2 linked regions of the Drosophila melanogaster genome follow. The protein of the gene in region 1 interacts with the protein of each later gene in a pairwise test. Each region holds a gene or a part of one and is shown on either strand. Other genes may lie near its edges.

Region 1 (4,384 bases):
GTTGCAAAACTTAGTTTCGACAGCGAAGGAATCGTTCGTTTATATAGGTTAAAAGATACAAGACCTTGAAATTAAAATAACCATGCTTGGAGTGGATAACTAAATTAACATACCGATGTTGCATCACTACAATACAATTTTCCAATGGTTGGCAGGGAAAAAAAACCTTGAAAATTATAATTTTTGAATCCTGGCGTTAAATAGATATCCTTACAAGTGTCAACAAGCAATAATTTCGTAATATAGATTTGGCTACTTAAAGCTTTTTGGATCAGAAGTGTTGAAAGAATTAAAGGTCTACACATAGGGAGATTTCAACCATGAAATGTACTTAGCGCCTATATAATATGATATAATATATAATATAATATAATGAAAATCTCTTAAACAATGGGTGGAATTCATTCTGAATGCTGATTCCACCCGCATTGTTAGGAAATGTTATATGATCAAGGCAAGTATTTTTCCCCCTCTTCCAAGAATTCTTTTTTCTTTATAATTACTGAAACATGTATCTATATTATTTTAAATAGAATTATTATTCTTTGTTTTTTCTTTACTTTTGTATTATTAGGTACATTGGCGGCGAGTCCTCAAAAAATGATTGTGCTAAGCAAATCAGTTAATTGCTTTGATTGTATTTCAGTTGTAAGCTAAGAGTACAATTTGTTATCTAAGCATTTAACGATTAGAACCACAAAGACTTATTACACGATCGTAGACCAAGGATCGAACGTCCTTTGAGATCGTGAAGTCGAAGTGCGAGAATCCTTCGAAGCGAATGTTCCTGTTTTCTATGCAGTTGGGCAGGTCCCGCTCCAGTCGAAGGACATCCGATTCGGATCCCAACCAGTCGCCATCTCCGCGGTGAAGAGCCACCTTGCCCAGTGCCAGGGAAAGGTTGTAAAGTGGGGGAAAGATCGACTGGTAGCGTATCTTATTCAGAATTAGCCCGTAGTCGTACTTTTGGAAAGCAGAATTGCCCTGCAATTGGGCGAAGTGATAGATCTGCTTGGCGGAGCTTCCCTGCGAGGCGTGACCTTCCAAAATGGGGGATAGTGTCTACAAAAAATCAATATTAACCCGTGAAATCCAAATTAGTGATGAATTTCCCACCATATTGAAGCTGTTGAAGTTAAATCCGCACACCACAAATTCAAAGATGGCACAGATGCGACTGGGGATAAGTTTGGTGCAGATGTGGTTACGGAACATGTCAACAATCTTGTTTTTCAGGGAGATCTTGTGGCCGCCCAAGAGATTCAACAACATCTTTTGAAAGAAATGGAGAGCATTAAATATATACATATTGTTTAGGAATTTCATGCACTCACTGTGAAGCCACCCGAAAATAATTTCATAAACTTAAGTGCTGGACTGCGTGTTCCTTCCATATAAACTGATGGCGAGAGGGACTGCATCAATGAGATCTTGCCTGCATACTCAGGCCTTTCACTACACATCACAAAGAAGGCCGTGGATCCCTGCGAGTGACCAATGTACTGGATGCTCGGCATTTTAGTCTGCAGCAGGATCAAGTCGATGGCAGCGGGTAGATCGTACTGCCCGATCTCGTGGAAGGAGAAGTCCCAGAAGATCTTGTCGCTCTCCCGACCGGCCAGGCGCTCCTCCGAGTAAACGTTACCCCTTGTGTTCAACATCCAGACGTCGTAGCCGCTTTGGGACAGGATGTAGGCCAGACCCTGGGATGGACCGAACTGCACCCAAGTGGCCGAGCTGGCCATCAGGCCATGGACCAATAGGACGGGTGTAGCTCCAGACCGCGGAATCCGATGCAGGCAGAGCTTGTAGCCGTCGGCAGTGAATGCGTAATGGGTCTCTACTTGATGTCCATATTTTGAGATCATTTTGGGCTGTCAAACGATAGAAAAATATATAGTTACTGCATGCTGTCCAAGTGTAATCTTATGAGTGGTATGGCTCACCGTCTCCAGCTTGGCGTCGATCTGGATGTCCACCTCCGCAAAGAATTGTTGGTAACTAGCTTGTTGACATTGTAAACATGACCTTGGTTCAGGCTGTGATTGAATTTGAGCTTGACTTTGTGATTGTGACGTCCCTTGACTCTGAAATGGGAATTACGCTTGATTAGGCTTCCGATTGAGAGGTTGTGATTGTAGTTTATAGGTGATTAAGCACGTCCTTACAATAAATCTTGCGACTGTGATTGAGTTTACCCTTGACGGTAAGCTTGGGTTTTTTAGGTAGTGGTTGTTCTAGGTCCAACGGATCTTAGCTGCTTTGCACTCTCTTTGTTTACCTGAATCTGTGATTGTGACTGCCACTGTGTCTGTTCATTCAATCCTTGATTTTCATCTACAGGATATGCATATGGAACCCATTCCTGAGTCTTGCTGGGTACCAAACTACCCACTAAAATTATTGCATAGATCGCAATATTAAATGCGATCGCCATTTCGTTCCCTTCTTGTCTACTCTCGAAGGCAGAAATGAAATCGAACTCTTTTATAGCGTTAATGATAAAATACCCTGAAATTAAAATATCCATGCTTGGAGTGAATAACTAGATTAACATATCGATCGAGCATCACTAAAGTAATATTTAACAAAGGGCAACCTTGATCAAGGGTTTAATAAATACATTTTTTGTATTCAAGCAGCTAGATGTAAAGATATCGTAACTTTTTAAAGGAGCTTGAATTACAGGTTGATCATAATTAATCGTAAAAGAAGATTGTACTTAGTATGATAGGTATCGTTATTCTTTAGTATTTTGTTTGATTGATTTGTGACCTCATTAAATAACACGGATAAAAACATAACAATTGTCTCTGGCCTGAATTCACCCTAAACACTGGCGACTTTTGTCGGTTTATTCATTTCCATATTTTCGATTATCATAATAAAAGTCTTTCTTTATTACAGCTGGGAAAATTGTAAAATATTTGTATATATTTAATTTCCCTTAATAAAAATTATATTTATTTCCGAGCCCTTAGGAAAAGGCAATTTCACATATGTGCCAAGCAAATCTATTAATTGATTTGCTAATATTTCATTCGTAAGCTAAAAGTTCAATTTGAACCGCACAAATCGATTACGCGATCGTAGACCAAGGATCGAACATCCTTCGAAATCGTGAAGTCGAAGTGCGAGAATCCTTCGAAGCGAATGTTCCTGTTTTCTATGCAGTTGGGCAGGTCCCGCTCCAGTCGAAGGACATCCGATTCGGATCCCAACCAGTCGCCATCTCCGCGGTGAAGAGCCACCTTGCCCAGTGCCAGGGAAAGGTTGTAAAGTGGGGGAAAGATCGACTGGTAGCGTATCTTATTCAGAATTAGCCCGTAGTCGTACTTTTGGAAAGCAGAATTGCCCTGCAATTGGGCGAAATGATAGATCTGCTTGGCGGAGCTTCCCTGCGAGGCGTGACCTTCCAAAATGGGGGATAGTGTCTACAAAAGAAGGTAATATCTGAACCCTTGAAAACAAAATCAGGGACTTGTTTTCTACCATATTGAAGCTGTTGAAGTTAAATCCACAGACCACAAATTCAAAGATGGCACAGATGCGACTGGGGATAAGCTTGTTGCAGATGTGGTTACGGAACATGTCAACGATCCGGTTTTTCAGGGAGATCTTGTGGCCGCCCAGGAGATTAAGCAGCATCTATAATATTGAATATATATCGAACCATATAGAAATGATATACCTTTTAAACTTCTCCTGTACTTACTGTGAAGCCACCCTGAAGAACTTTCATAAACTTGAGTGCTGGACTGCGTGTTCCTTCCATATAAACTGATGGCGAGAGGGACTGCATCAATGAGATCTTGCCTGCATACTCAGGTCTTTCACTACACATCACAAAGAAGGCCGTGGATCCCTGCGAGTGACCAATGTACTGGATGCTCGGCATTTTAGTCTGCAGCAGGATCAAGTCGATGGCAGCGGGTAGATCGTACTGCCCGATCTCGTGGAAGGAGAAGTCCCAGAAGATCTTGTCGCTCTCCCGACCGGCCAGGCGCTCCTCTGAGTAAACGTTACCCCTAGTGTTCAACATCCAGACGTCGTAGCCGCTTTGGGACAGGATATAGGCCAGACCCTGGGATGGACCGAACTGCACCCAAGTGTCCGAGCTGGCCATGAGGCCATGGACCAATAGGACGGGTGTGGCTCCAGATCGCGGAATCCGATGCAGGCAGAGCTTGTAGCCGTCGGCAGTGAATGCGTAATGGGTCTCTGCTTGATGGCCATATTTTGAGATCATTTTGGGCTGTCAAATGATAGAGAAATATATAGAAACCTTTATTATAGTAACTGCTGTCCCCATGGAATCTCTTGAGTGAAATGGCTCACCGTGTCCAGCTTGGCGTCAATCTCGATGTCCACTTCCGTAATGTAT
Region 2 (4,702 bases), on another chromosome or scaffold:
TAATGACCTGCGATCCGCAATCGCGGCAATGCCCAGATAAAATGAAAGCCAAAGTCACAGTGCCAGAAACACGTGAGTTATGAATATGAAGCATGTGGAAAGAAAAAAAAAAAACAAAACTAAGACGGCAGTGCATTCAAGTTATTGTGGCCAAAGAAACTGCGAAATCAGGGACAACTTTATTGTTGTTGTGATCATCTGAGATACAAAGAATACACAAACTGCAGCAGCAAAGATACAAGTTTTGCCATCTATTTATTAAGGCTTTGATTTCTATAGTTTTTTTTATTTTTTATTATTTCAAGCTTAGAAACAGTTTACGACTATGCTGGGCTATCTCGGGGAATCGCTCGATAAGCGTATTGAAATTTTTTCAGAGTGAGGAAGTTGCGATGGACAGCGTCATCAGAACCAACCTTGATTTTAACTTGCGTTCGCTTTTTAGTGTTTTCATCATTTTTTTTTTTTTTTTAACTTTTTACTTGTTGCGTTGCGATGGTTGGGATTTTGTTTTTATTGTCTTTCGTTTGCGCTGAAACAATGCGACAACAATGCAAAACGAAACGAAATGAAACGAGTTTTGTGAACGAGGTAAAAAAAAAAACTCAGGCAATAAAACAAGGAATAATCACGGGAATAAGCCCACAAATCACCCAACAAAATCAAATTTAATCACCGGATTCATCACCTGTGTGTGTCATTTCAAATTGACTTGGGCCTAAACTTCTAATTTGCGCTTCTAAATTGCCTTTAAAGATTTCGAGCTATGCAATCAATAGTTTGACTACCGAAGTTTGATCAGATAACAAGTAAACCTGGTTTGAAATATTGAACACATTAAATATTTGTATCTCACTATTCGATTTTATATGAAATCTGGATTTATCGTAATTTTAGTTCAATTTTAGTGAGCGGTTGAGCGAGTTCATATTAAAATAACATAACACCCAGCCAAAATCACAACTAGAACCGGCCAAACGAGTTCCTAAAACGCACTCAGCGAATCAAAAACCCAGTTAAGACATTTTCTGCCACTAAATGTGGAAAATAGTTGGCTTGTAATTTTCGAAAAAAAAAGAATCAATAAAAACAGAAAAAAACATTTCAAAATAATTAGCAAATTGTCTGTGTTGCTGGCCAATCTATGAAATCTGCATTGTAATTAGTTAAAATATGAATATTTTTGACAACCCTGCGCCATCCATTAGGAGTCCTCAGAATTTTCCCAACGAATTTCCCCCAAATCATAGAGGTAACTAACTTTGCGGGTTTACCTGTCGCTTTATCTTTATCACTATGTTTTGTTGTTGTTTCTTTTCCTTCATTTTTTTTTCTCACTCACCTGAGCCAAAAAAATTGTCAAAATGCCAACAACAAGCCACACGAAATGTTTTTGTTGTTGTTGTGAATTTTGGTAGTAGTGGTGGTGGTTGTGGCGTTGTTTTTGTAATTGCTGCCGCTTTCGTCCATGTGTTTGTATTTGTATTTGTTGCTGCTGATGATGTGCCCGTAATTGTTGTTGTTTTCGCGTGGCACAGTCCATTTTCAAGTACAGTAAAACCCAATGATGGTCGAAGGTTTCGCAGATTGCTGGTTTTACTTTTCAAGCGGGGATGGGCGGTGTTTTGCGCTTATTGTTTTACACATGTATGTACGTTTGTATTGCATATACATTTCTGTTGGCCGTTACATGGTCATTTGTTTGTATTGCACACGCATATTACGTTTCCTCTATTACTTAATTAATATTGCACTTGTATTGCACTCTCTGTAACGGGAAACGGGAGAGCAATGATGAGCGCGATCGAGAGCGAGAGCGGCAGATGTGGGCCCATTGTAATTGTTGTTTTCTAATACGATTTCCATTAACAATCGCCGGCTAATGCACGAAAAATGATTTATGTCCAAGCGAATTTGTAACGGCACATGCGTGCGGGAGAAGAAGAAGCAGAAGCGAAAGCTGCAGGTGAAGAGCAACACTGATCGTGGAGGGGGAAGCGGCTGGCTATGGAAATGTGAGCCACGCACAAGTACAAGTGCGTGTGCATGAGCGCTGCAAGTGTGTGATTTGATGCAGACACACATGCATACATAATCACACTCACACGCATTTGTGGCTGTAACGGCGCTTCACTACAAGTACAGTGGGCCCTCCCTGCTATTGAACACGCGAGCATGTAAATCTAACGAGATTTAGAAGTTAATATATGAAATGTAAATTCAATGCAAACATATAACGAATTTGGTTAATATGCCCGACAAAGTTTCGATTAGCGAGTCTTCACTGTGGCATTACAGTTTGCTACCGTTGTTATTGTTGCTGCATTACGAAATATCCAGCAATTAACAGACAATTGTTGTTGCCGCCGCTTTTTGCACTTCATATTTGCACTACCACTAGCTGAGCAGGTGTGTGTGTAGGTGTATGTGTAAATTACAGGTACTAGGGTAATATAAATTACAATAGTAGGCGGTTAATGGTGATTGCATTAAATGCTAATTGCACGCATTTACTTTTACTCCACCCTTGCTCTCCCACTCGCTCTCTCTGCCACACACACACTCGGACACACTGATGCAATGACTAAATGCGGCGGCGCAACGGCGTCGACGTTGGCAGCGACGGCATGGACGAAAAAAAAACTAATTCACTTGACTGTTGCTCTTTTTCTTCTGCTTCCTCTCCTCTCCACCCTCTTCATCCGCTTCTTCTTGTTTTCGTTGCACACCAATTTAAAACAAACTAGTCACGTTTCGTTTTAAGCGGAAAACATAAAAACAGAATATAAACTTCTGGCGCGTCGGCGCATTTGTTTAAAAAAAAAGAAGTCACAAACAAAAAATTTAGGCTTTAGTAACCGTTATTATGCAGAAAATAAACTGACACTTTTATTGACCGACAACTTGTTACTGACAAGAAAAAAAATAAGAAAAATTGGTTGCGAAAAGGAATCGGCCACGACAAATTGAAGCGAATGACTGCACGCACTTTTCACCACTGTTCATCAATGAATTTCCACATTTTCTGCCTTTTTGGACGACCGTCGCTTAACGAATGAATATAAATACAATACAAAGGCGTGACCGCCGCGCAGTGCTGCCGAAAAACAGAAAAAAAAACCCAAAAATACTGAATAAATACCACATATTTTACACAACACAGGGTCACTCATAATTTATTTAAAATTGTTAAATTTCTTAAAGAATATATTGTTAATATTATATGACATGTTTTGCTCATGTTTGACCAAATTTGATGTTTCGTTGATTCGGAAAGCGAAATTTAATTCATGCAGTTGATATTCAACAAGTATTCGTGCAGTCACACTTTGCAATTTCAAAAATTGCAATTTGGTAATTATTTCCAATGGTATTATTATAACTTTGTCATTTTTATTACTAGTCTTCTAATAGAAAATACAATTTATTTTATATATTGATATATTTAGTAAATAAAATAATATTTTGAGCACTTGTTAAAAATGTATCCATGTTTTCATAATAAACAGAACACACCAACTCAAACAAATTTGAAAATATCTAAAATTCGTTTATATTTGCAGAGAAGGAAATACCAGGTAATAAGTGAATTAAACTGTTTTTACTGAACTTTTTACAAAAATTTTATAATTATTTTTTTATTTTTTTTTAGATATGCAATATGAAAATTATATCAAGCAAGCTTAAGAAAGTTATATGAGCACCGGCACTCAAGGCTCACAGCTCGTAGAGTAAGTAGCTATCTTATGGTATTATTATATACAGGTTCATTTTTATTTGGTTTTAAAATACATATATCTCTGTATATATAACAAGTTTTTTTTCGTAGAACCTCAGAATAATCTCGAAGTGGTTTTGTGTGGGGTTAGCTAAGACGTTTTGAGACCAAAAAATTTATTAAATTATATATCAACAAAATTTAAATTAAACGTATTCGTAAATTAAATAAAATGTAAAACAGGAGTATGACCAGCTAGCTGTATTCAGTATTTTTGTTAAATTTAATATATTTCTTTAATTCTGTTAGGTAGCTGTAGCGTTAACAGCACTAATCGATAAATTGCCGAAGCTGTTAGGAGCTAACATACAGTCACTAGCAGAACGTCAAGTTGATGTCAGTAGCAATCAAAAGTGAAAAGGAAGCGAAAAAGTGCATTTTAAACTGAAAATAAAGTGTGATAAATAACAGTTGTAAAATCGAGCGGCTCAACCAAGGTAAAGATTGCAAGTACTATTTGATTGTCACAACATATCATATATGTTAAATATGTAACATATTTAAGGAGCAACACAAGCAACATACAACTGTGGTGAATGTATCTGTGTAAATATTGCCTTGGTGTGCGTGCAGTCGGCTTCATTTTGTTTTGCTGTTGACCTTCGCAGATCGAAAATGAGTTTAAATCGAATTCGTAAAAAAAAAGCCGCTTGAACTCTTCCAATGTCAAAAGCAGCGTTCAGAAACTGCGGCAATTGTGCGAAAAACACCAGAAAATAACGCCATCAATAAGTAGCACACAATACATGCAAATGTGTTTTTTTTTCTTGTGTCTTTTGCGCGCGCTTTCTCTGCAAATGTATTACTTAACAGTCGCTCTCTACGTCCCCATATCTCTCTCTCTCTCTTTCTCGCTCTAGAAATATAAACTAAACATTTTCTGCCTTTTTACTTTCTTTTTCCGGCTTTTTCTTGTTTTTGCCT

What was found. Proteins that work in one complex are often made in the same cells at the same time.
Region 2: the proteins of CG18284 (region 1) and Ptp4E interact in a two-hybrid assay, tested with the Drosophila melanogaster proteins (one large-scale study listed by BioGRID).

The regions. Positions count from the first base shown.
Region 1 is NT_033779.5:10,642,048-10,646,431, reverse strand, and holds CG18284 (uncharacterized protein), read right to left. Parts: upstream 2,462-4,384; 5' UTR 2,438-2,461; coding exon 2,282-2,437; intron 2,088-2,281; coding exon 1,947-2,087; intron 1,875-1,946; coding exon 1,335-1,874; intron 1,273-1,334; coding exon 1,117-1,272; intron 1,063-1,116; coding exon 682-1,062; 3' UTR 541-681; downstream 1-540. Other genes in the region: CG31872 (uncharacterized protein), read right to left, coding at 3,057-3,434, 3,493-3,648, 3,716-4,255, 4,339-4,384.
Region 2 is NC_004354.4:4,937,488-4,942,189, reverse strand, and holds the start of Ptp4E (protein tyrosine phosphatase 4E), read right to left. Parts: upstream 3,063-4,702; 5' UTR 2,990-3,062; exon of another isoform or gene 2,886-2,989; intron 2,754-2,885; exon of another isoform or gene 2,658-2,753; intron 2,610-2,657; exon of another isoform or gene 2,515-2,609; intron 1,769-2,514; 5' UTR 1,544-1,768; coding exon 1,343-1,543; intron 1-1,342.